Linked DNA regions of Drosophila melanogaster. The protein of the gene in region 1 interacts with the protein of each later gene in a pairwise test. Each region holds a gene or a part of one and is shown in the gene's direction. Other genes may lie near its edges. The genes, in order: CG5445, salto, CG9173 and CG34396.

Region 1 (4,859 bases):
ATATATCTAATCTTAGCTGCTGTGCTTAAGTTCTATTTCGGTTTTGTATTTTAATCACTTATACTCTCTATTTTTTGACATTTTTTTTTGTGACTTGGCTTGAATTTATTTAGTACTGGAATTAATTTAATTGATTGGTTAAGCATTTTTTATTGTTATTTGTTTTTATATACGCGGCTCAAACAATATTACTTTTAATAATATAAATACACGAATACATACAACACATCTATGAATGAAAAAGCGAACGAATGAAACAATAAATACATATATATAATTTAAAACAAAAGAGAGAATGCTTTAGTCGAGTTCCCCGATAATTATATAACCGTGTCTCAGCTAGTGTGAATGCGAGCGCGAAATTTTATTATTTTTCTGGGATATCGATAGGAATTGGAAAATAAAATAAGAAAAATTGATCAAAAGTGTGGGCGTGGCAGTTTTAGGCGGCTTGTGGGCGGTAGAGTGGGCGTGGCATCGTGGGCCCCATGTTTTCCTTTGCCGTTGGCGGTGTGGTAAGTTTTTCTTAATTTTGTAAATCAATTTTTATACCTAAAATTTCCAGCCACCGCGCTAACCAACTCGGTGTGGCTAAGGAATTTTGGTCGGAACGTATCGACGTATTGTATACTTGACATGGTCGGAGACCAATACATTTTCAACGAATCTAGTATACCTTTTTACTCTACGAGTAACGTGTTTACTCCCTTCATATTCTATTTGTTGCTTTTGTTGGAGTCCAGACCCATTGATACCGCTGGCGCCCATCATTTGAATCATCGAGTACAGAATATCCAGGAAGTCTGTCTATTGGCAATAGAATTAAGATTTTTGAACATATAACATCCTTTTTTATGGGTATAGAACATAAGGTTGAAGGTGGTTAAAGTCAAATAAGTCAGTTAGTAATAATGAGCACATCGATTTCCAAAGCTCTGTATGTGTCACATTCGTTTAAAAGTTTGAAACAGCAAAAAAAAGCCATGTTTGTCGGTCCGTCGGTATCTCGTGATCTGAGACACTATACAGGCTAGAAAGGTGTATAAGATATGTTGTCACACCCCGAACTCCCAAATCAGGAAGAAAGCATCTGCTTTGCTCATAATTTCATGGTTTTATTACCAACTTATGTCATGCTGGCTATGCAGGTATTGATGTTGGGCACAAAGGCGTTGCAGCCGTCGACCACCTTCTTGGTGGCATCGACGTAGCAGGAAGAGGTGTTGAAGGGCAGGGCTGCGCCCTGCTTGATCAATGTGTTCATGCGGCGGACAAGGGACATGGTGGCGTAGAAGGCCTTCAGGGTGCAACGCATGAAGCTCTTGGTGGAGGAGACGACGCTCCTGGAGGTGGAGGCGCACAGCTCGGACTTCATGTTGATGATCTTGTTGCTGGTGATGATCATTTGCTTGACATTGTTCAGCATGGCCTGGATATCCTTGGGAATATCGCCGGTGCAGGTGCTCAGGTCGTCTACGTAGTTGGTGCAGGTGAGCAGCACATTGGCCACCTCCTCGACGATGCACTTGGTGCCGTTGATGCCCTTGTATCCGGCCCACAGAATCTTGCGGCACGATCCAATGAAGCCGAACTGCTCGACGCCCATGAACTCATCCTCCATTGCCATCAACTCGGCGGCGTAGAGATCCTTAAGCTCGGCATCGGTGTAGGGCTCGAAGTCCTCGAAAGCACCTACGGCACTGGCCTAAAACAAGTTAGGAATACGATTCGATTTTGGAATAACTGTCAAAATATTTGACTTCAAGTAGCACACGTTTTAAAAGCACTTCGGAAAAAAAATTGAACAAAATATATTTGCTTTAAGCGACGATTCTGTTCATTAAATCTTTGTTTGCTGCACTTTTCGGATTTTTTTCAAACTCTAATAACGATGGCACTTGACTGTATTTGCTAGTAGTTCTTCATAAGGTTGTCTGACTTACGTTCGCTGTGGCCAGAAGGAAGCTGGCAGAGGCCACGACCAAGAGGCAGACGTTGAGTACTTTCATGTTACTGGTGGATGGTTTCACTGGCGAATGTTTGCTGACCGATCCGTGGGGTTTGTTTATATAGACGATTGGCCGGAGCCATATCAGTTAAGTGGCGATTCGGAGGTTCGATTTGCACATACACTTTGGAAAACCAATGTGCCGGCGATATGTATGCTTTAATTAAACCACCACACAAAGTCCGAAACTAATTTGACATTATCTATGCAGCGTGGACACACAAAGGAAGATAGCGAGATAGTCATATAGCCAGATTGTCCAGATTGGACAGGGATTCCTCAGGTAAGTCCGACACCACCCACCGCAAGCACTCCCATATATCGACGCGATGCATTCGATGCATAATCGCTCAAAGAAATCAATGGGTATTTTATTTAACAAAACAAAACCCTTGGAAAAGTCACCTATCTACGTTGTCAACGTCTGAGTGACAGCTTTTTAATATTTAAAGTGGCTTAAATCTAATTTATAAATAAGCATGAGCATTACAGTAAAAGAAGTATCGAGTATATTAAAAAACTAATTATACCAAAGAGAGAGCCTTTTATCTTCAAACCTGTCTCATGGCCCTAGGTTAAGGTGATCATATCTGTTGAGATATTGTTTTTGTCACACTTCCATTTTTATCAATATTCAATAGTGATAGAAAGTACACTCGCACTGGTTTTCGTTTAGGGGTGCAGACATTTGGTTAACAGTAACTAAACAATTATCTAACTATTCTGTACTCAATAAAATATAAATTTGTATTATAATTGAATTACTATTAATTTACTCTGACTAAAAATTGTATAAATTGTACAAATATACAAATATAGGTATGTTATAGAGCAACTTGTTATATTCCACTTAATACTTTTTGCAAATCGATGGAAATTCGCAAGACTAATAAAAATATAAAAAATATCATATATACGATATACCAGATCGACTCGGCTATTGATCCTAATCAAGACTATATGAAAACGCTTCCTTTTACTTTACGAGTAACGGTTATAAAAATTTAGTTACGAATAGTAATAAAAAGGCTTTCTCTCCTCTAACAAAATTAAATAACTAGCAAAAACTGTGATAACACGGATTTTTATTGAATGCTCGAATCAATTGCGGGCACTAAACCCCTAAGAAGTCAGCTTGGAGCAGCTGATGATGTTCTGGGGAAAGGCGGTGTAGTAGGTGGTCAGGGTGTTGACGGCATCGGAGACACAGGCGACGGCATTGGGACCGGTTTGCGGGATCTTCTTGGCCAGCTTGATGGCATTGTCCACTTGCTTCTTTAGGGACCACACCTTGCGCAGAGTCTTAACAAAGCAGCTGCCAGAGACCTTCGTCTCCTCGTCGTCCGTTTGGGGGCAAGTGTTGGACCTCAGATTGATGAGGTCGTTGCAAGTGCTGAGGATCTTATTGTTGGCGTTGATCAATTTGGTCACATCCTTGCTGGCGGTGACGCCGCACACGACCACGTCCGTGTTAAATTGGGTCGCACTGTCCTTGATGCCCGCCACCCACTTGATTATGCAATTGAGTCCCTTGATGCTTCGCAGAGCGATCTTTAGGGATTTGTAGGTCGTACTCAGCACGCCAAAGTCCTCCACCTCCAAGCTACCATCGGTCACATCGTCCAGTTCTGACGAAGAGTCCAGGGCGCTGGGAACAGGAGCCACCAATGCATTTACCTGGAATTTAAATATTTGCTACCATTGCGCAAATAATTTGTATTTTTCATTGCAAAACTTACGCAAAACAGGCCCAAAGCCAAAATAAGAATGGTATACTTCATGCTGTCGTTGTTTATAAGCAACTATGAAAACCGTTTCCGATTCGGCCCTTTTATATCGCTTGGTTTTTTAACCCTTTAGTGGTCAGGTAGGTCTTGTACAAACAGAAATATAATAGATATCTAGGTTCATAACTCTATTATTAGAGCTAAATGTTAGGATTGCACGGATATTATATTATATTGGTAGTATACGTACTGATGATATTTATATATCCTAGTTTTTTGCATACCTTTTTTGTGTTAAGAAAAGCGGTTAAGACTATATTGAACTTGAGCCAGTCACATTGGTGCTCTGATAACGCATTAAGCCAATTGATCATTTGGACACCGAATTTATCTATAAAATACAAAAAACCCAATTGATAACGCTATAACAACAAATCGAATTACAGTTCGATTTTAAATCATACTTATGGGCTGACTTACCTGCATACAAAGCTTTACTTTCACATATTAAAATGTATTTGCCTACTTTTGGGCTTAAGTTTATAACTTATCAAAATTATGGTAAAGATAAAATAATTGAAAATATTTAAATTTAAATCTGTTTTGACAAGTCTACCAACTCAAGCCAAATTGTTTATACTCTTCTGCCTCAGGGCGATTTGCAGATTAAATGCACGGTGGCCTTTAATCACACCATTTTCACAAGTTTCAATTACAATCGCCGGTCATTCGATTCGTATTTCACATACGGATTCCCATGAATGACATAGTTTGCTTCACCGCAAGTCTTACGTCGTCATCATCGCTGGACAAAAGTCAGTTGACTTCATTGAAGTGCCCTACGATTTGATTTGCTAGCCACGTGAGAAGCGCCATATCTGATAAGCTGGCCGATTAGATGGAAGGTTCGAAATACGAAAATCGTCTCATAGAGGGGACCGTATCGATAAGGATTTATACACGCTTAGCATTAACTTATTCGCCTTTCATATCTACAATACGTCTGATTGTTTCCAGGAAACGATAATTTCATTGGCGAACATAAGAGGTGCACGGTATAGCATTAGTCATCAATGTTCTCATTGATCACATATTAAAAAAAAAAACACACAGATGATACAACC
Region 2 (6,009 bases), on another chromosome or scaffold:
TCGAAGGTAAGCTGAAGTAAGGAGGTGTTAATACCATTTCAATAATGAGTTAAAAGAGTCCCACCTCATATTTGGCCTCGTCACAGGCACAGCACGGATCCACGATGCTGGGCTGGGTGTCAATGTCGTCCACCTCCTCCTCGCACATACGCTTGGTAAGGAAGCCATCATCCATGAACCACACATCTCGATGCTGCATCACCGTAGCCCTCAGCAGGATGCAGCCCTGTCCCGGACTCGATGGAGCCACCCAGAACACATCCACGCGTGTCTTCACGTTCGTGTTGGTATTCTCGACAAGATTTGGGCAGCGCGGACTGAAACGGGTCTCGGCGAGATCGGCGATCTCCCAGGTGCCCAGGGCATTGGCGTCACCATCGCCGTCACCACTCTCCAAATCCAGGGCCAGCATAAAGCTAATGAAGGACAAGCCAGAAAATGCACTGAGGCTAACTGAAAACGAGCAGCGAAAGATTAGAGAATTGAAAGAAAAATCTAGAAATTTGTAAATTTAATTTAATTTAATGCTTAATTTAATGCACTCACCATTATACCTTTGACCGGGCACATAACTCTGCGTATTTCCGTTTACGGACAGCACATAGTTATCATCCACCGGTGACTTGGCTGCTGTGACTCCCGGTGGGACCCTAATGCAGCCCTCGATCCGGGGAATAACACCCACTAATGCGAGAAGAATAGTGAAACCTTCCAGAGCTTTCATTTCAAAGAGCTGCAATGCAAAATTGAGTGGGAATACAAATTTACAATCATTTGATGCAGCCACGTGGTTGTGGGGGAAAAAACTATTTCTGGCCAGCACTTAATTGTCTTAATTATCCGCATTGGTATCGAATGTCAATGGCAACCAATGGAGCCTACTTCCAGTTTCAAACTGAACTTGAATTCGTAGAAATAGCCTTCAATTGAATGACTTTGCGTGATGTCACACATAGTGCATATTGCTATTTTCGCAGACACTTTCCATTTCCTTTGAGATCCAAATTATGCCAGCTCAATTGCCATGCGGAACTTGAACTAGGCGGGTTGTTGGTTGTTTACCCCTTGAAAATCGGATCGCATTGCGTATATACAATATATAGTCTGTACTATATAGACCGTCTACGTCACTGATTAAATTCAATTGAAAAACGCGCCGACTGTCTACAGCGAATTCGAATACAAGGGGGTGACAAACGTCCATTTCCCATGGATCTAAATCATTAAAGTCACTTTTAGGGCTTCTTCACCTCAGTACTGCACTTATATTGTAGCACCCACTTTCACTAGCACATCATGTATGTTAATCCAGTTGATTAAGTTATTTTGAGAAAATAAACTAATAGCAAGGTGGTACAGATTGTTTTTTCATACTCTTGTTACTCAGTATTGATGGATCGTAAATGAAACAATCTCGAAATATATGCTTTTAGAGGGAAATCCGAACTAAGAACTTACTCGGTGGACGCACGAACAGCAACTGAATGCAAATTTCGCCGAGTCGATTATTGGATGGACGATGTGCATCATTCGGGACCGACGAATGGATTACATGGAGAACCTCAGAGAGGGAAAAACTGCTCTCTACTTTTCCCTCCCATTTAGCTTAGTTTCCGCTTCTTTTGCAGATTCGCATTTGTTGATAGAAACCATTAGTTTTCATACGCTCATTCTAAACAAACAGACCCCAAAAACACCGGGTACATTGGAACTGAACAAGTGTGCTCTGAGTTTGAATTCATGTTACTTCCACGAACCACCTCGTTTGGATTGGTCAGAAAGCATTTTTGTACCATTTACACTAGACGTAGTTCAACTGGAAATATTTAGAAACAAATTTTCTATACTATTTTTTCCTCATTTTGAACACAAAAATCGTTTACAAAAAAGCGTTGATTTCCGAAACTTTAGATATGAATTCTTCCAGCGTGACGCCGCGTTCAGTTCGTAGTAAGTACATGTACCTTGAACGCTATACGAATGTGTGCTTCAAATGCTCGTTATCCTTGTTAGGTAACAAAGCATTCTTGCTGAGGACAGCTGGAAAGGCGGAAAAGCAAGCCTCAGACAAAGCTACATGGGTGAGTGAGATAGAAGAAAAGGGTTTAGTTTTTTCAAATGCTTTACATCCCCGTCCCAGTCTCGCACTTCTTCTTGTGGTGGCGTCTTCTCTACTCCTCCCACCCAGAATGGCGACGGAAGCCCAAACAAAGGTAGGCTCAGTCACATTCCAAATAGGCGTGGAGCGAGTCGGTCGTCTATCCATTCGCGAAAAACTTCTCTGGAACGGGTTACTTCTTCGACGAAAGCGCGCCCGTGTGTCAGTACGTATTCGTTGCCCAATCGACGGGTCGAGCCCGAGCATAAAGTAGTTGAGCCCGATCGGAAAACTGATATCGATGAGTTGAATCCCCCCAAGCGGAACGTGGTTCCCATAAAGACGCATGCCCAGTCAGCACAATTGGTTAAGTCAACGACATGCGGTGGGTATCGCGAATATTTGAAACGTGGTCCAATTCTCTGATTATTGCCGTCCACAGAACCTTATCAAAATGTAAAGAAGCCTGAAAAGATGTCGCATCGCCGTGTCCTGGAGATGAACCGGATGCGGGTCTTTGATACGCAGAAAAAAAAACTGGAGAACCTGCAGTCCGAGTTTATGCACAAGATCCGGTTAATGGGTTCGGAGCTCCGGAATCAAGGGGTCTTCAAGTTTGTGGGTCTGACTGTAAACGATGAATGCAAGCTTGTGGTCCACCATGATGATCTACTTCGATTGCCCAAGAGTATTCGTAAGTTCGTTTTGATTTTACGTCTTCGATTGAATGAATTGTTATCCTTGAATTATCCTTCTTTCGCTTACAATTGCATACTTTTATTTTCTAGCCGCCGAAAGTATGAATGACTTGAAAACCAGGTGTCGTGCGATTGTAGATCAGGGGGTTTTGTTAATCTACGACCATATACCAAGAATTCAGAGGGCTAAAAATGATCTCGAGGCTAGTGAAAAGCGTGAGGAAACTCAAAAAAAGTTGTCTAACCTAGTGGTATGTTTTTGTGCAACCGCTATGATGCACTAGCAATGTGAAACTATTTTATTGTGTCTCCAGGAAGAAAAAATGAATTTAATCGTCGAGGAGATCGAACAGTTGTGCGGTGCATGCTCCAAACAAGAGTCACCCAACAAAAGTCTCTATCGCGAGATGTCCGAGTTGCGTTCCCAGAAACAGGCCATGGAGGTTCGTTATTTTGACGCCCAGAAGGAGCACACTGAACAGATGAACCAGTTGCGGATCGAGCTCGATGCCAAGCTGAAACAGGAGCTGGCCAGTCGAGATCAGATCATTGTAGAGCTGAGAAAGAGCCTGCGGCGAAGCGAGGATATGCTCAGTGAGCAGTCCATTCGATTGGCCGAGAACAATTCCAAGCTATTGACCGAGGATTCCACCATCGAGGTACTGCGCTCCGAGGTAGCCAAGCTCAAGACTGTGTAAGTTAACTGGTCATCTCGGCAGATGATGGTTCTTACAGATCTTTCCTTATATCGTATCTAGAAAAGAGCAAATGGTTAAGCGTCTGGAAGAGGCGGACAAAGGTCTGGAGCGGGCTCGAAATTCCGTCGATAAGAACTTGAAACACATCGATTACCTGGAGGGCGAACTGAAGGAGGCCCGTGAGCTCATTGTCCATCTGGAACAGCGTCCAGATGCCATGGACGCGGGAGTTAAAGAAAAGGATTTGATCATTGCCGATTTGAAACTGCAGCTGCAAAGTCTCGAGCAGCATAAGAAGGTCATGAACAAACAGGTGGCCAATACAATAAAGCAGCATGCCGACTTTGAAGAGCTGGGTGGAAACTATAAGGAAGCTCTACAGCAGATAAGGTAAACTGCTTGGTTAACAGTATCATAGATTATGTATATTGATTAACATATCTCTTGCTTGGATAACCAGCGATCTAAGGGAGACCCTAAGTGTTACCAATGCCAAATTGGAGATGCAATCCAAGCTCGAAGTGCAGCTGCGCAAGGAAGTGTCCAAGATGCGCGAGCAAATGGTTATCGATCAGAAGTTGCTGAACGCTCGCAGCGAATTGATCGCAACACTGCAGAAGAATGAGGAGGATAGCCGCACCAAACTAGACCAAATGTACTATCAAGTTAGCGAGAAAGAAACGCTTATCAATCAGGTCCGCCGAAAAAGGATGTGGCTAGCCTCGCTTATGCTTATCCTTCTTCCTCCCGCAGGTAAACAACAAGCTGAGTTCGAAGGAGGAGGAGTTCTATAATCTCTACGGGACCCTCACGCACAAACAAAGGGAAGTGAGGAGGCAGGAGCATATCATCAAGTTGTTAAAGGAGCAGAATTCGCGGGTATCATTGTTGCGAGCCAATCAGGACGAGCGGAATGCCACGATGGAGGAGGAAATCAAACATCTCAAAAACGCCCTGTAAGTTCAATACGAGTTTGAGTAAAAGTTCGCCAGCTTGCTATAATTTACACAAATCCCGTGGTAGATATTCAATAACATTAGGGCCATGTACCGTTGAATGAGGTAAATGTCAATTGAAGTCCTAATATCAACTGGACCAGTTTCCAAAATATTTGAGTAAGTGATAGCAAAGCGGCGAGCTTTATGCTTGGAAAGACAAATAAAAGTATTAAATGGTTCTAGCCGTAATTATGCCAAACTAATAGTTGGCAATATGGGTGAACATTTTTTTGAAGTTCTGCCGGCTGGCGAAATGGAGAGCATTAGAAGCGGTGGCCACCCTGTGCGTGTGGACTCTTCCTGCAAGTTTCTGCAAGAGCCCAATCTGCAAGAGCCCAATCTGCAGGAACCCAATCTGCAGGAGCCCAATCTGCAAGACGACACTCTGCAGGAACCCAATCTGCAAGAACCCAATCTGCAAGAGCCCAATCTGCAGGAACCCAATCTGCAAGACGCCATTCTGCAGGAGCCCAATCTGCAGGAACCTAATCTGCAAGACGCCACTCTGCAGGAGCCCAATCTGCAAGACGCCACTCTGCAGGAGCTCAATCTGCAAGACGCCACTCTGCAGGAGCCCAATCTGCAAGAGCAGGAGATGTCCCAACCACGTGGTCGCATCTTTGAGCCACTGCAGCATCAACTGCTCGACGGCTTAATTCGCCCCGCCATTTAGTGCGCTTGCGCTATCAACTACAACATCCAAATATTCGTCCTACAGATCCTGCGCGTCCACAAAAAGTCGCAAATTCCCTGCCACCCTCCTCTGCGATTGCGAAGACACCAGCGATCCCAAGACCAGCGTTAAACATCCAATTTGAACTACAAGAACCCAACCCAAATATCAACCCAACCCAACACATCCCAAAGGAGAACGCTTAGCATGGAAATTCTTAAGATGAACAAACCAAATTTGTTGTAACCGTTGGCCAAATGGCATTGTTTTTTGTACCCATACATATGTAAAAAGTAATGGCAGAAATCTGGTTAAGTCTCGTTTAGGGCGGCGGTTTGATCAATCGACTAGCTTCGATTGGTTTAAGAATCTGAAACTGGCACAATTAATTGAGATGATTTGGATTTTTAGGGCAGGGTCGAAGTTGCAGATACATTTATGCGTTCTTTTGCATTTAAATATTTAAAAATACTGGTTATTCAGGAAGTATGCATGCTTTTTCGTTATAAAAATCGTGAAAGCACGCATACTCTCAGATTTTCAAACTCAGTTTTTGCCGCTGCGTGGATTCCGTAGGTTTCCTAGTAGATTATCTGGTACATGTCGTTTAGTCGCATCAAGAAGCTCGTTAAGAACGGTTGGGGTTTTTAGTAGTCCAGATTGTGTGTGTTCCATAAAAGGTACCCATAAGTTTAATGAATGTGTGGTGCTGGTTGCAGATCAAATAGTGCGTTTTTGAGTGAGATAAAAAGAATAAAATAATGAAATTGGTCCCACAAACTTTGGCTTTATGTATGTACCTTGATCCCGGCCAATTATGATAAGACGGCAGACCACAAGTGAA
Region 3 (4,646 bases), on another chromosome or scaffold:
GGGGGCACTGCCCCCCCCTGTTCTGTCCATCAGATATAAAAGGGGGACTTTGGCTTGTTGGTCCCCAGCGCTCCGTGGGAAATAGAACTAGCTTCAGTTCTTAGGTTATATTTCAAATTTTTGTTCAACTTAATTAGTTCAAATTTGAATTTGAATTCGAATTTCGCGCCCAACGAGCGCGCGGCCGAATGACGATCGCACCGCTGATCTGGCAACGCCAGTCTAACCAGCTCGTCGACTGCGAAAGGTTGGCAATGCTATCAGCTGTATTGTCTGATGCAGCTGATCTGATTTATTACCAGTTTACTGGATCACTCGTGAATTCCGGAACGACACCGTGACGCTCAGAAACGCGGCGCAAACCCCAGAGTGGATTTGCAGGTTTATGTTGCAGTTTACGGCTGACCGGACTCGTATATGACGAAATTCGCGCAGCGCAGCAAAAAGACGTGCGAAATACGCGGGACAATGGATGTGTGTGTGTGTGTGTGTGTGTCTATGTGGAAGGTAAACACATGTCTACTTTGAGGCACAGCAAAAAAAAAAAAATATATATGCAAGTGTCGATGATTTAAGTACATTTATAAGTAGTACGAGCAAAATACGAAATCTATAGCTAGATTGCTTCTTACAACTAAAATCAAGTTTATATCTCAAGGATGTGATATTGTAAGAGAATAGAATACGATTTTTCCCAGTGTGACTTCATCTTCAGCTTATTCCTACCCATCTTGGAGCTGCTGCCATTCATTAATCCACATAGAAATGCCAATGGCAGAGTGAGATGTTGATGGTGAGCTGGTACAGATGGAGATGGAGATGGTGAGGTGATGGTGACCAAAGCGAATGCAAACGAAGGCGGCTGAGGCGGCACAACAACAAAGCGGCCAAGAGGCCTATTAGCCACAATAAAGAGGCAGCCTCACCCCCTTTCGAAATCCCCAATGCTCATACCCCTGGAAATTCTATTATGCAGATGAATGGATGGATATGGGACTAACCATCCGACTGCCTAACTGACTGGGTGTTTGTGTGTTTGCCCCGCCAGATGCCATTACAATGTAAACCCAACAAAAGTTCATTCGGTGGACTTGATGCGGGCATGGATGCGGAGACGTCTTCATCTCATCCACGTACTTCTTCTCCACATATCCGAGGCAGCAGCACTTCCAGCCACCGCAGCGGAACAATTGATCAAATATCATAATTTATCAAATGACAATGCAACAGGCGGCGGCCTCTGAACGTTTACGTTCCCGTATTTGCTTGCCCCAATCCCCACACCAAAGACACCGATCTCCAATTCCCAAATCCCCCCAATCCATTCGAAAGCTACAACTTAATTTATTTGAACAATTTAGGTCTGACACAACAGCCATCGTTTGGCTCTGTCGTGTTCTTTGCGCTTATTTATTTCGATGGTCAGTCGGCTCGAATCTATTTAGCATAATTGCAGCTACGATCAGAACCGAGACCCGAGTCCCGAGATAAAATAATGCATTCTTGTGTGGGGTCTGTGTGTAATCCTAGATAGGGCCACCAGTGGGTCAGATAACCAAATTAAAACAGGCTAGGGAAAATATTGGGACAAACCGATTATTGTTCTATTATGGTAAACTTAGCCATGGCATTAGTTCCAATCGAAATGGGAAGTGCATTCTTCATCGAAGATTGTGCATTCAAATCAAATTGTGTGTCAAGTTTGCTCACAAATTGGTAGGTTTATGGATGCCAGATAGGTTGACAATACTTTTGTATTGGTTAGTTTATGAGCTTTCTTTTCATGGAATAGCCAAAGAATTCGATACAGTAGTCTGCGACTATATGGTCCATCAGAAATCTGTGTATAGCATCTACAATTTTTGTGTTTTGTCAAAAGTGAAATTTAAAGTGATACGTTTGCTGTCTCCTTACTTCATCAACAACCAAATTGCAATGGACAATTATGAGAGGGCCAGAAAACTGCAGGAGGAGGCGGGAGTTCCTCCTGGGGGAATCAAGCGGTGCTGCTGCAACTGCAGGAGAAAGCTGGATCCCTACCAACTGTTTGACGATAATGTGGAGGATATAGCCAAGAGCCTGGCGCAGATAATGCTGATCTGTGGCATCAGCACAAGCAAATCCAGCGCTGCCAGGTCGATAATTAAGAGGGCTTTCGTTTACCATGAACGACTGCGCACCAATTGTCCACCAAATCCGGCTACTGACAGTCGCTTGAATCGGGAGGACCTGCTCCAGGCTCTGCGACTGAAGTGCGAAATGGAACCGGTGGAGGCGATGCTCACCTATGCCATCATCAAGCGGGCCTTTAAGGCCTTCTATCACGGCAAGCCACCGGTGACGATCAGCAATCCCATAGTGGATGCGATGGCGGTGCACACCCAATATGCTGCTTGGATGCATGCGGCGCACAAGACATCCAGGATCTTCGACAACTACAAGGCGGCCTTCTTTTGGGCCCACAAGCACTACGAGAGGCAGATCAATCTGGTTTATGCAGCGCTGTATCAACGGATGACTACCAGATCGGATCCCCTCCTGGTGCCGGGCTGTCCTTGCAAGGGCTGTTCCAAGCAGGAAGTTCCCGGACATCCCAAGGCCGGCCAAAGGCAAATGATGAAGATCAAGCTGTCGGAGGGTGCAGATCTACCAGAACCCTGCATCATCTGTGGCTTGCAAGTTCCGCAAATGGATAAGGAGGTCAGGATGAAGAAGCCACCGCGTCCGATCATCAACCATGAGGTTAATCTACCCAGATGCCAGCAGTGCAATTCGCCCTTCCTCATCTGCGAATGCAACATCGATCAGTTGACGGGCGAGCAGTTTGGCGAATGCGGCCAAGACTCCTACAAGGTGAAGTGGTATCGTCTGGAGGAACCAGTGGCCATTTCCCAACCTGTTTCCCAACCGCTTGGCGAAGAGGAGCAAGATACCAGCTATGATGAAGCTGTGGAACCCCCAGAGGACTGGGACAATCACCATTGTCCCATCGACTGCAAGCACGACTCCTGCAGCGAGTCCTCGAATGTTTGCCACAGCACTTCTTCATCTGCATCTTCGGGCAGTGATTTTGCCACCTGTTCCGACGGCGTGGACAAAGAGGAGGATGTTGTGGCCAAGCTGGAGGATTATCTCAACAAACTGTGGGCCGAGGAGGTGGCTCAGAAGAGGAATCCATCGTATGTGCCGCGAACGATTCATCCTCCTGGTCCGAAGTGTATGAAGTGCAACGACTAATTTTGTACGTTTAAATTTTGGCTATATAAATTATTGAGTGATGAAAAGAGAGCTATTGTTGACCCTTAATAGCCAGAAACAAGTAGTCTAAGTACAGAACGTGTTTTCTCACCTCTGCTACCAAGTTTGGTTCAACGAGCTGCCACCATGCCACCATGCCACCATCCGGGCCACCCACTCCCACACCTGGGGAATCGATCGCCCACACGGGAGCCGGCGCTTATCACACGCCCACAGATCGCGTCTTGACAATGGCCACTTAAAATGCCATTGCCGGTTGTAATCGCCACTAAATTGCTGGCACCTCGGCTTATTCGCGGCTGGAGGACGGAATGGGACGTGGCATTCGATGGGATGGAGCTACTGTTGTCATCGCCGGCTGCTCCGCCCAGCAGCTCCCAGGAGCTTCCACATAAATCGCTGCCTTTATCTAAGCACTTGCATCTCGCGCTGGAACAGAGGCTCCTCCAAGCTGCACCACCAGGATGGTGCGGATCCGCGGATTCGGGCCTGTTCACGCTCCTCGCCGCTTATCAATCTCAGCTCATCTGCACGCAGAACAGAACAGAACCGAACTAAACCAAACTGCAACTAAATGGGCAAAAAGAACCCAAGTCGAAGAACATCTTCTGCGAAAAATAATTCCGCAACTTGTCACATTTTGTAAGATTCAAAGTCGCAGAGACAGGCACTAAACTGCAGACGCCTCTGCGCCAGGGATTCTGGGATGGGCCTGCAATGAAAGGAGTCCTTGACTGTCGGGATTTAACTATTTTTATAGGGTATTCGTAGATAAAGGGGCATACTCGAATGTTAACAGCTACATAAATATAATAATTATTAATGGCAACATATTGATCTTAATTTTATAGATGGTTTATTATTGGTTTAGATTTAAAACTTTGACTTTTTATCATTATCATTCCTGTAGTCGAATCACCCGTGTTTACCCTACATATTTTTGGCTAGGCCTAGACTTCACCCTCGAATTGCCGCCTGCATCTCCATCTGCCTGTCGCTGTGGCATGTTAAACTGGAGTCACATTTGCATATAGATTTATTTTTATGTCCACTGCCTTCGGATGGCTCGTGAACTATTTATGTGTGACGACGATCCAATCGCTTGGGGGAGCGATCTTTGGATGGATCCGCGATCGGTTCTTGCCCAAGAGTTGTGCCATTAAGCGATGCCCATTAAATGTTTGGAAATATTGGAATATCTCTAGATAATGCCACGTCTTGCCAAATTTCTAATTATGATATGCTCACATTGAGTTTCTCTATTAGCCCAGTTTTGATGCGTCTATGTCTGTCTTCCCATTCCAAAAAATTTTTTTTTTTGCTTCGGCATGTGTGTGGTAAACAAAGCTCTCACACTCAATTGAGTGCCACTTTTCGGCTTCGGATGA
Region 4 (6,034 bases), on another chromosome or scaffold:
ATGTTTGTAAATTTGTAGGAAATTTATTTTAGTATCATTTATGGTACAATATTCGATTGATTGGTCAGCGAACAATACCCAAATGATGAGGTTTTGCTTAGAAACTATTTGGACATGTACAACAATTGGATTGTACACTTCTTTAAATGTTTTGATTAGGATCTGATACTGAAAACTACCACCGACCCCGACCACCGCCGCCGCCGCCACCGCCTCCTCGTCCTCTGTTAAAACCGCCGCCGCCGCCACCTCCTCCATTGCGACCAGCACCTCCTCGGAATCCGCCTCCACCTCGTCCGCCGCCACCACCGCGACCACCTGTTGATAAACACAAGTTAGGACTTTGGGGTGCACTCATGAAATTCACTATCTTACCTCCTCCGCGGCCGCCACCTCGGCCTCCAAATCCACCGCCACCGCCGCCTCCACCTCGGTTATTTGTGAAGGCTTTCTTGGCGCCTTTTGGTTGTGGAGGTTTCGGCAGAAATCTGGCGATGGGTAACAGCTTTCCAGGGTCGATAAACAGTTTCTGATTTGGCTTGAAGCTGTTGGCGTAGACGTTGTCCGACAGCTTGATGGACACGCTGTAGTCCCGAACTGTTCCAAAGATTTCGTCGATTTTGCCTACTTGCTCCTTGTTTTCAAGGAAAATGGGCGCGTTGAAGTAGGGAACATCCTGAATATCAACTTTGCACACAAGGTCGTTTTGGCAGGAGTAAACATAGTTGCCCAAGGGGATGACTCTCTCTGGTGGACCTACAATTAAAAAAATAAGATATATTATTAAAGTGACAAAATGGAAATGAGTATTTGGCAATTTGCCTGAACATAGCAAGCATTTAAGACAGCGTATACCTATAGGAGACTTCCAGATGTGTTTTTAGCTAATATATTTATATATATAGCCCATGATTATAGCCTACAACGGCTTGGCTATTCAAAATTTGAGAGAACAACGTGGTTATTGTAATTCTATTCGCACAATCTGTATTAACTGCTTGTTTTAAGTGACGTAGTTAGCCTTAGTTCACAGGCTAGCTTAGTTTGGATGATTAGTTATAGGAATAGTTGGCGACTTTCATTCACTTACCAGTGTCGAAGGCTCCACGGCCGCCACCACGTCCACCTCCACCTCGACCGAATCCGCCGCCACCTCCGCGTCCTCCGCCACCTCCTCGTCCACCTCCACCTCCACCAAATCCTCGTCCTCCTCCGCCTCCGCCTCCACCGAAGCCTCTTCCGCCGCCGCCACCGCCGCCACGAGGTTTACCAAATCCCATTTTCAAATATTATTAAAATTGAACGCAAAAACACGTGCGCGTTCCGATCAACCAAAATATTTAGAGACGGAAGAAATTCAAATTTCGTTATCGACTTATCGATAGCCACGGCCATGTGTTTCAGTATATACGGTTGTATATTATACGGTCACACTAGGCACAAGGGGCGGATTTTTTGAAACTTCTATTTCAATAAAATTATTTAAAACTATTTTTAACAATCGACCTGATTATTAATTTCTTAGTCTTTTTTTTTAAAAACAGTTATTTTTTTATGCATATGAATAGTTTTAATGAAGATCGTTTAACTAAGACAAATTCCTGGTGCTTTTTTTATAAGCATTAAATATTCACTAAGAGAACATAAAACATTGAGTAAGAGAGAATCATCAAAAACATCATCGGATGCATTATAGATATATATATATATAGATATCTATAGCCGAACAGCTGTTGAGACATCTACCAAAAATATAGACAAGCAAAGTGAAAATGAATATTTGAATTTTCTCCAACTGCTGAGAGCAGTTGGATGCCAGCCGTGGACGAGGAAGCGAGAAATAGAAGCTAAATCTATTCGATCGTGTCGCGACGTCGAAAGAAGCAGATACATAAAATTCTATATGCAAATAGATAATATAGCAAAATAATTTCAAAAATTTTCGGACAAGTGCAGACTTTAAAAGTTTCAGAAAGTGCACAATACATACATATAATACGAAATTGCAATCGAAAGTGATATAATTACCCGAGGCATATTTTCATATGTGGAATATGAACGCCTCGTTGGGCAGTTAAAAATAGATTAATAGATGGCTAAATGACGAGCACGAGCACAAAGATAGATCGCGAAAGTAGCACACGACTGCGGCTGGACAAGATGGAGCAGCCGATGGACGCCAGGCAGCAGCAGCGCCATCGAAGGCGCCTGGGTCGCAGCCACCGGGAACCGACGCCCGTCACTGGAGACGCCCTGCCCCAGGACGATGCCAGTCCGGATGCCCTCCCTGATCCATCACCTCAGATGGTGCGCATGCAGATCAGGCCACCCGGCTCGATGTCCGCCCACGAGAGCAAGATCCTGCGAAAGCGGGACAAGTCCTTCGCCAGCTCCTCGGCGCGTAGTCAATCGCAGCCACGGGAGGCTGAGAAGCTGAGTAGTCCGGATGCCAATCATCTGATCAAGCATCGCAGCCTCTCCTCGCCGCGGCACAAGGAGGAGTCCAGCGAGAGTGAGCTGACCACCGGCAGCAGTAGTCAGCAGCAAAGGCCCATTCCTAATCTTGGCCAGACACAGGATACGCTAAGCAGATTGGAGCAGAATCTGCAGCGCTTCGAGGACGAACGACGGCGTTTCGAGGCCGAGAAGAGGCTCTTTGAGCGCGAGAAGCGGGAGCACAAGATGCGCCATCGCCAGCAGCTGGACAACGAGGAGCGCAAGCGCCTCCTGCAGAGCTACCGCAAGCTCAGCGATCGCATCCAGCTGCCGCAGGACGAGGAGGAACGGCGCCGCCTCATCCACAGCCTGCGTCTGCAGCGACACGAGGCGCCCAAGACTCGGGGTCGCAATCGAAGTAGCGGCTACGATGAGTCCTCCACCCAGTTCAGCTCCTCCGATGCCGATGCGACGGAGGAGACTCACCCGCGGCCCCGAGCACCTAAGATTCCCCAGGGCTTTGTGGCAGCCCCAATCCGCGGCGCACCTCCACCGCCGCCATCGGCGTCGACAGCTCCAAAACCACCGGAAAGGCTGTCTGTGAGTCGCAACAACTCCCTGTCGCCCGTGAGACCACAGCGACGATCCAAGACTCCGGAGCAACGGGAGGAGATCCTCCGGAAGCACGAGTACTTGGAGGTGGGCGAGTCCAGAGACGAGGTGATAAAGCCCCGCATCTCGGAGGCAGAACAGCAGTCGGAGCTGATGCAAAAGTACATGGAGGCCGCTGAGCGGGCGGCAAAAGCGGAGGCCGCCCTGGCGGAGCAAATCCTGACGGCGGAGGGAGTGCGTCGCAGTCACAGCTTGAGATTAGCGGATAAGGAAGAGAAGCCTCAAAAGCGCAGCTCCAGTTTGGAGCGTCCACTAAGACCCAAGCGATCGGGCAGTTTGGAAAGAAAGGAACAGGTAACTCAAGAGCTCCTTGAGGGAACTACTACAAATGAAGCTGATACGGAACCAAAATCTCTTGGGGATCAACCCTTGTTGCCAGAGGAATCCATCTCAGAGGCGAAACCCAAAGTTACCTTATGGCAGCGGCTGAAAAATCTGTTTAGGCGAAAGAAGAAGATTCAGGCAAAGGGCGAAGATGTCACAGATCTGTCCACAGAATTGCCACTGGAGAAGTTGGCCTCCAGGGGTCTGCTGTACAGTTTCAGCCTAGAAGCCCGGCATGAATGGAAACGCCTCAAGCTGGACTATCCCCAAAAGGTGAAGGAACTGCGTCAGCTACGCAACAGGTGCATTGCCTATCTCATCTGCATGGCTATGCTTCTGGGATTCGGAGGACTCCTGTTCCGGTACACGGAAGGAGCAGCGGAGAATATATACAAGTGCGAGGTGCGCAAGGTGAAGCGGGATTTCATAGACCGACTGTGGGACGTCAGCCACAACATGAGGTAGTACCAATGGTGCCAAGTGGTAGCCCAGTTCTGTGAGTGATTCATTTGTATCTTTGCCAGAGAGGAGGACTGGAAGTCTCTTGCCCGCCAGAAGCTGCGCAGCTTCGAGGATGAACTAAATAATTTAGCCGAGTTGGGACTACGCCGCTATCCGGGCCAAAAGTCCTGGAACTTTGTCAATTGCTTCATCTTCTGTTGGACCGTGATCACAACTATAGGTAATGGGTTACAATGGACCCATAACCATCCAAAACTCCTAAATCCTTTCGTTAGTTCTTATATATGAGCATATTTCCATTTTAGGTTCTTTTTTTAGTTAGTCATATTTAACTTATTAACTCCCATGCCTTCTTCTCTTCCTTTCCAGGTTACGGCCACATCACTCCAAAGACGGGCATGGGTCGATCCCTGACCATCGTCTATGCCATCATCGGCATCCCCATGTTCCTGATCGTGCTGGCCGATCTGGGCAAGTTATTCACGCGCTGCGTCAAGTTCCTGTGGGTGTATGTGCGACGGATGTACTACACGCGCTCCTGCCGCCGGATACGAAAGCAGCAGCAGATCCGGAGCGCCATGACAGGCTTCAATACGATGTACGACATGGCCATCCGCAGGCCGAGCATGTTCTTCAGCAACTCTGCGCCAGAGAACGATGAGGAGTCGCAGGCGGATGCCGAGGCCGCAAGATCGGTGGGCACCTCGCACCCGGAGACACCCACATCACCCTATCCAGAGACCTTCGAGGTGGACGACGAGTTCAATTTGCCAGTGTCGGTGGCCTCGCTGCTGCTCATTACGTACATCCTCCTAGGATCCTTCGGCTTTCTAATGATGGAGCCCAGCTGGACTCCACTGGATGCCTTCTACTACGTGTTCATCTCGATGTCCACAATTGGGTTCGGCGACCTGGTGCCCAGTAATCCCTTCTACGTAATGGTCAGCATGATCTATCTGATGTTCGGCTTGGCCCTGACCTCCATGTTCATCAATGTGGTGCAGATCAAGCTGAGCGATCACTTCAAAATGGCCAGCGCCAAAGTGGGCGCCACCATTGGCATGAACATGACCAGCGAGCTTGGTGATGAGGGCGGCTCCCAGGTGAAGACTCCCTCCGAGCTTGCCTCGGTGCACGGTTCGCGACTGGACAGGATCGAGGAGGATGGCCAGGAGGCGAATGGCAATGGCCACTCCCCGGTGCCACCACTCACCTCGATCCTGCGCGCACCGCGTCCTCTATCGCCGGCGTCCAATGGAGTGGATGCTAATGGAGTTGGAGCCGATGCTGTTGGAGCTGGGGATGTTACTCCGCCACCTCTGCTGCCCAGGCGTCAGGTTTCCGTGGATCCCCAGCCGCCGGCGGAGGGGGAGAACAAGAAGAAGAAAAAGCACAGGTTTTTCTAGAATCCCTGGGATCTTCCGCCTCCAAACAAAAAAAAAACCGACAAAGTTAACGTGTAAGAAACCTCAAAAATGACAAGGCAATTTCAATCGAATTTACCGTAACGCGAAACTCTATATTCATTTATTTGTTATTTAATTTTACTCACCATCATCGTAGCATAAGTCTAATGTTAATGAAATAAAGCGCGCGAGTTGACAACGCAAATTGATGTTTTTAATTGTTGTAAATTCCGCTTAAGGATCATAATCATAAAGTTGTATAATTTTTCAACACTCTATTATCCTGTTATCAGCGTGGTTTTTTGCTCAATCCGGAATCGAATTGCCAGATGCGTATGCTTTGTACGGGAATGCATCCCAAAATCCCAGTAACAGGGAGTCGGGGGCGCGAATCCAAATGCAGTCGCAGTCGGCAGCTGCACATCTGTCGCTCGTAGGAAATGGAAGAGGAAGCAGCCACAGGAGGCGTTGTGCGGAGAGAGAGAGAGAGAGGGAGAGAGGGAGAGACCCATTCCCATTGAGAGCGAGTTGTGGTTCTCTCTGCCTCTCTTTCGCTGACACACGACAGGATGGCATGCTTCGCACTCCTGCTTCGGCTGGCATTCGTGTGCATGTTCCGTTTCCATTCCGTTCCGCTACGAGCACTTCGCCTGAGTTGACGGCTTCTGTTGGACGCCCAGTTGTTGTTTTGGCAGCGTGCGGTTCGGTCGACGGGTTACATCGCCTTCTCTCCT

What was found.
Region 2: the proteins of CG5445 (region 1) and salto interact in a two-hybrid assay, tested with the Drosophila melanogaster proteins (one large-scale study listed by BioGRID).
Region 3: the proteins of CG5445 (region 1) and CG9173 interact in a two-hybrid assay, tested with the Drosophila melanogaster proteins (one large-scale study listed by BioGRID).
Region 4: the proteins of CG5445 (region 1) and CG34396 interact in a two-hybrid assay, tested with the Drosophila melanogaster proteins (one large-scale study listed by BioGRID).

Annotation. Positions count from the first base shown.
Region 1 is NC_004354.4:17,280,685-17,285,543, forward strand, and holds the start of CG5445 (uncharacterized protein), read left to right. Parts: upstream 1-1,811; 5' UTR 1,812-1,943; coding exon of another isoform or gene 1,944-2,009; 5' UTR 2,010-2,160; intron 2,161-2,219; 5' UTR 2,220-2,291; intron 2,292-3,077; exon of another isoform or gene 3,078-3,130; coding exon of another isoform or gene 3,131-3,685; intron 3,686-3,747; coding exon of another isoform or gene 3,748-3,789; exon of another isoform or gene 3,790-3,816; intron 3,817-4,859. Other genes in the region: CG8664 (uncharacterized protein), read right to left, coding at 1,127-1,705, 1,944-2,009; CG8661 (uncharacterized protein), read right to left, coding at 3,131-3,685, 3,748-3,789.
Region 2 is NT_033778.4:12,302,003-12,308,011, reverse strand, and holds salto (salto), read left to right. Parts: upstream 1-1,742; 5' UTR 1,743-1,913; coding exon 1,914-1,950; intron 1,951-2,013; coding exon 2,014-2,081; intron 2,082-2,140; coding exon 2,141-2,483; intron 2,484-2,540; coding exon 2,541-2,792; intron 2,793-2,886; coding exon 2,887-3,047; intron 3,048-3,110; coding exon 3,111-3,490; intron 3,491-3,554; coding exon 3,555-3,884; intron 3,885-3,954; coding exon 3,955-4,189; intron 4,190-4,247; coding exon 4,248-4,450; intron 4,451-4,517; coding exon of another isoform or gene 4,518-4,554; exon of another isoform or gene 4,555-4,609; intron 4,610-4,675; coding exon 4,676-5,165; 3' UTR 5,166-5,468; downstream 5,469-6,009. Other genes in the region: CG17739 (uncharacterized protein), read right to left, coding at 1-11, 65-453, 547-724.
Region 3 is NT_037436.4:1,420,652-1,425,297, reverse strand, and holds CG9173 (uncharacterized protein), read left to right. Parts: upstream 1-1,826; 5' UTR 1,827-1,935; coding exon 1,936-3,237; 3' UTR 3,238-4,099; downstream 4,100-4,646.
Region 4 is NT_033778.4:21,095,952-21,101,985, forward strand, and holds CG34396 (uncharacterized protein), read left to right. Parts: upstream 1-1,806; 5' UTR 1,807-2,160; coding exon 2,161-3,893; intron 3,894-3,956; coding exon 3,957-4,114; intron 4,115-4,263; coding exon 4,264-5,300; 3' UTR 5,301-5,502; downstream 5,503-6,034. Other genes in the region: Gar1 ribonucleoprotein, read right to left, coding at 176-318, 376-756, 1,091-1,280.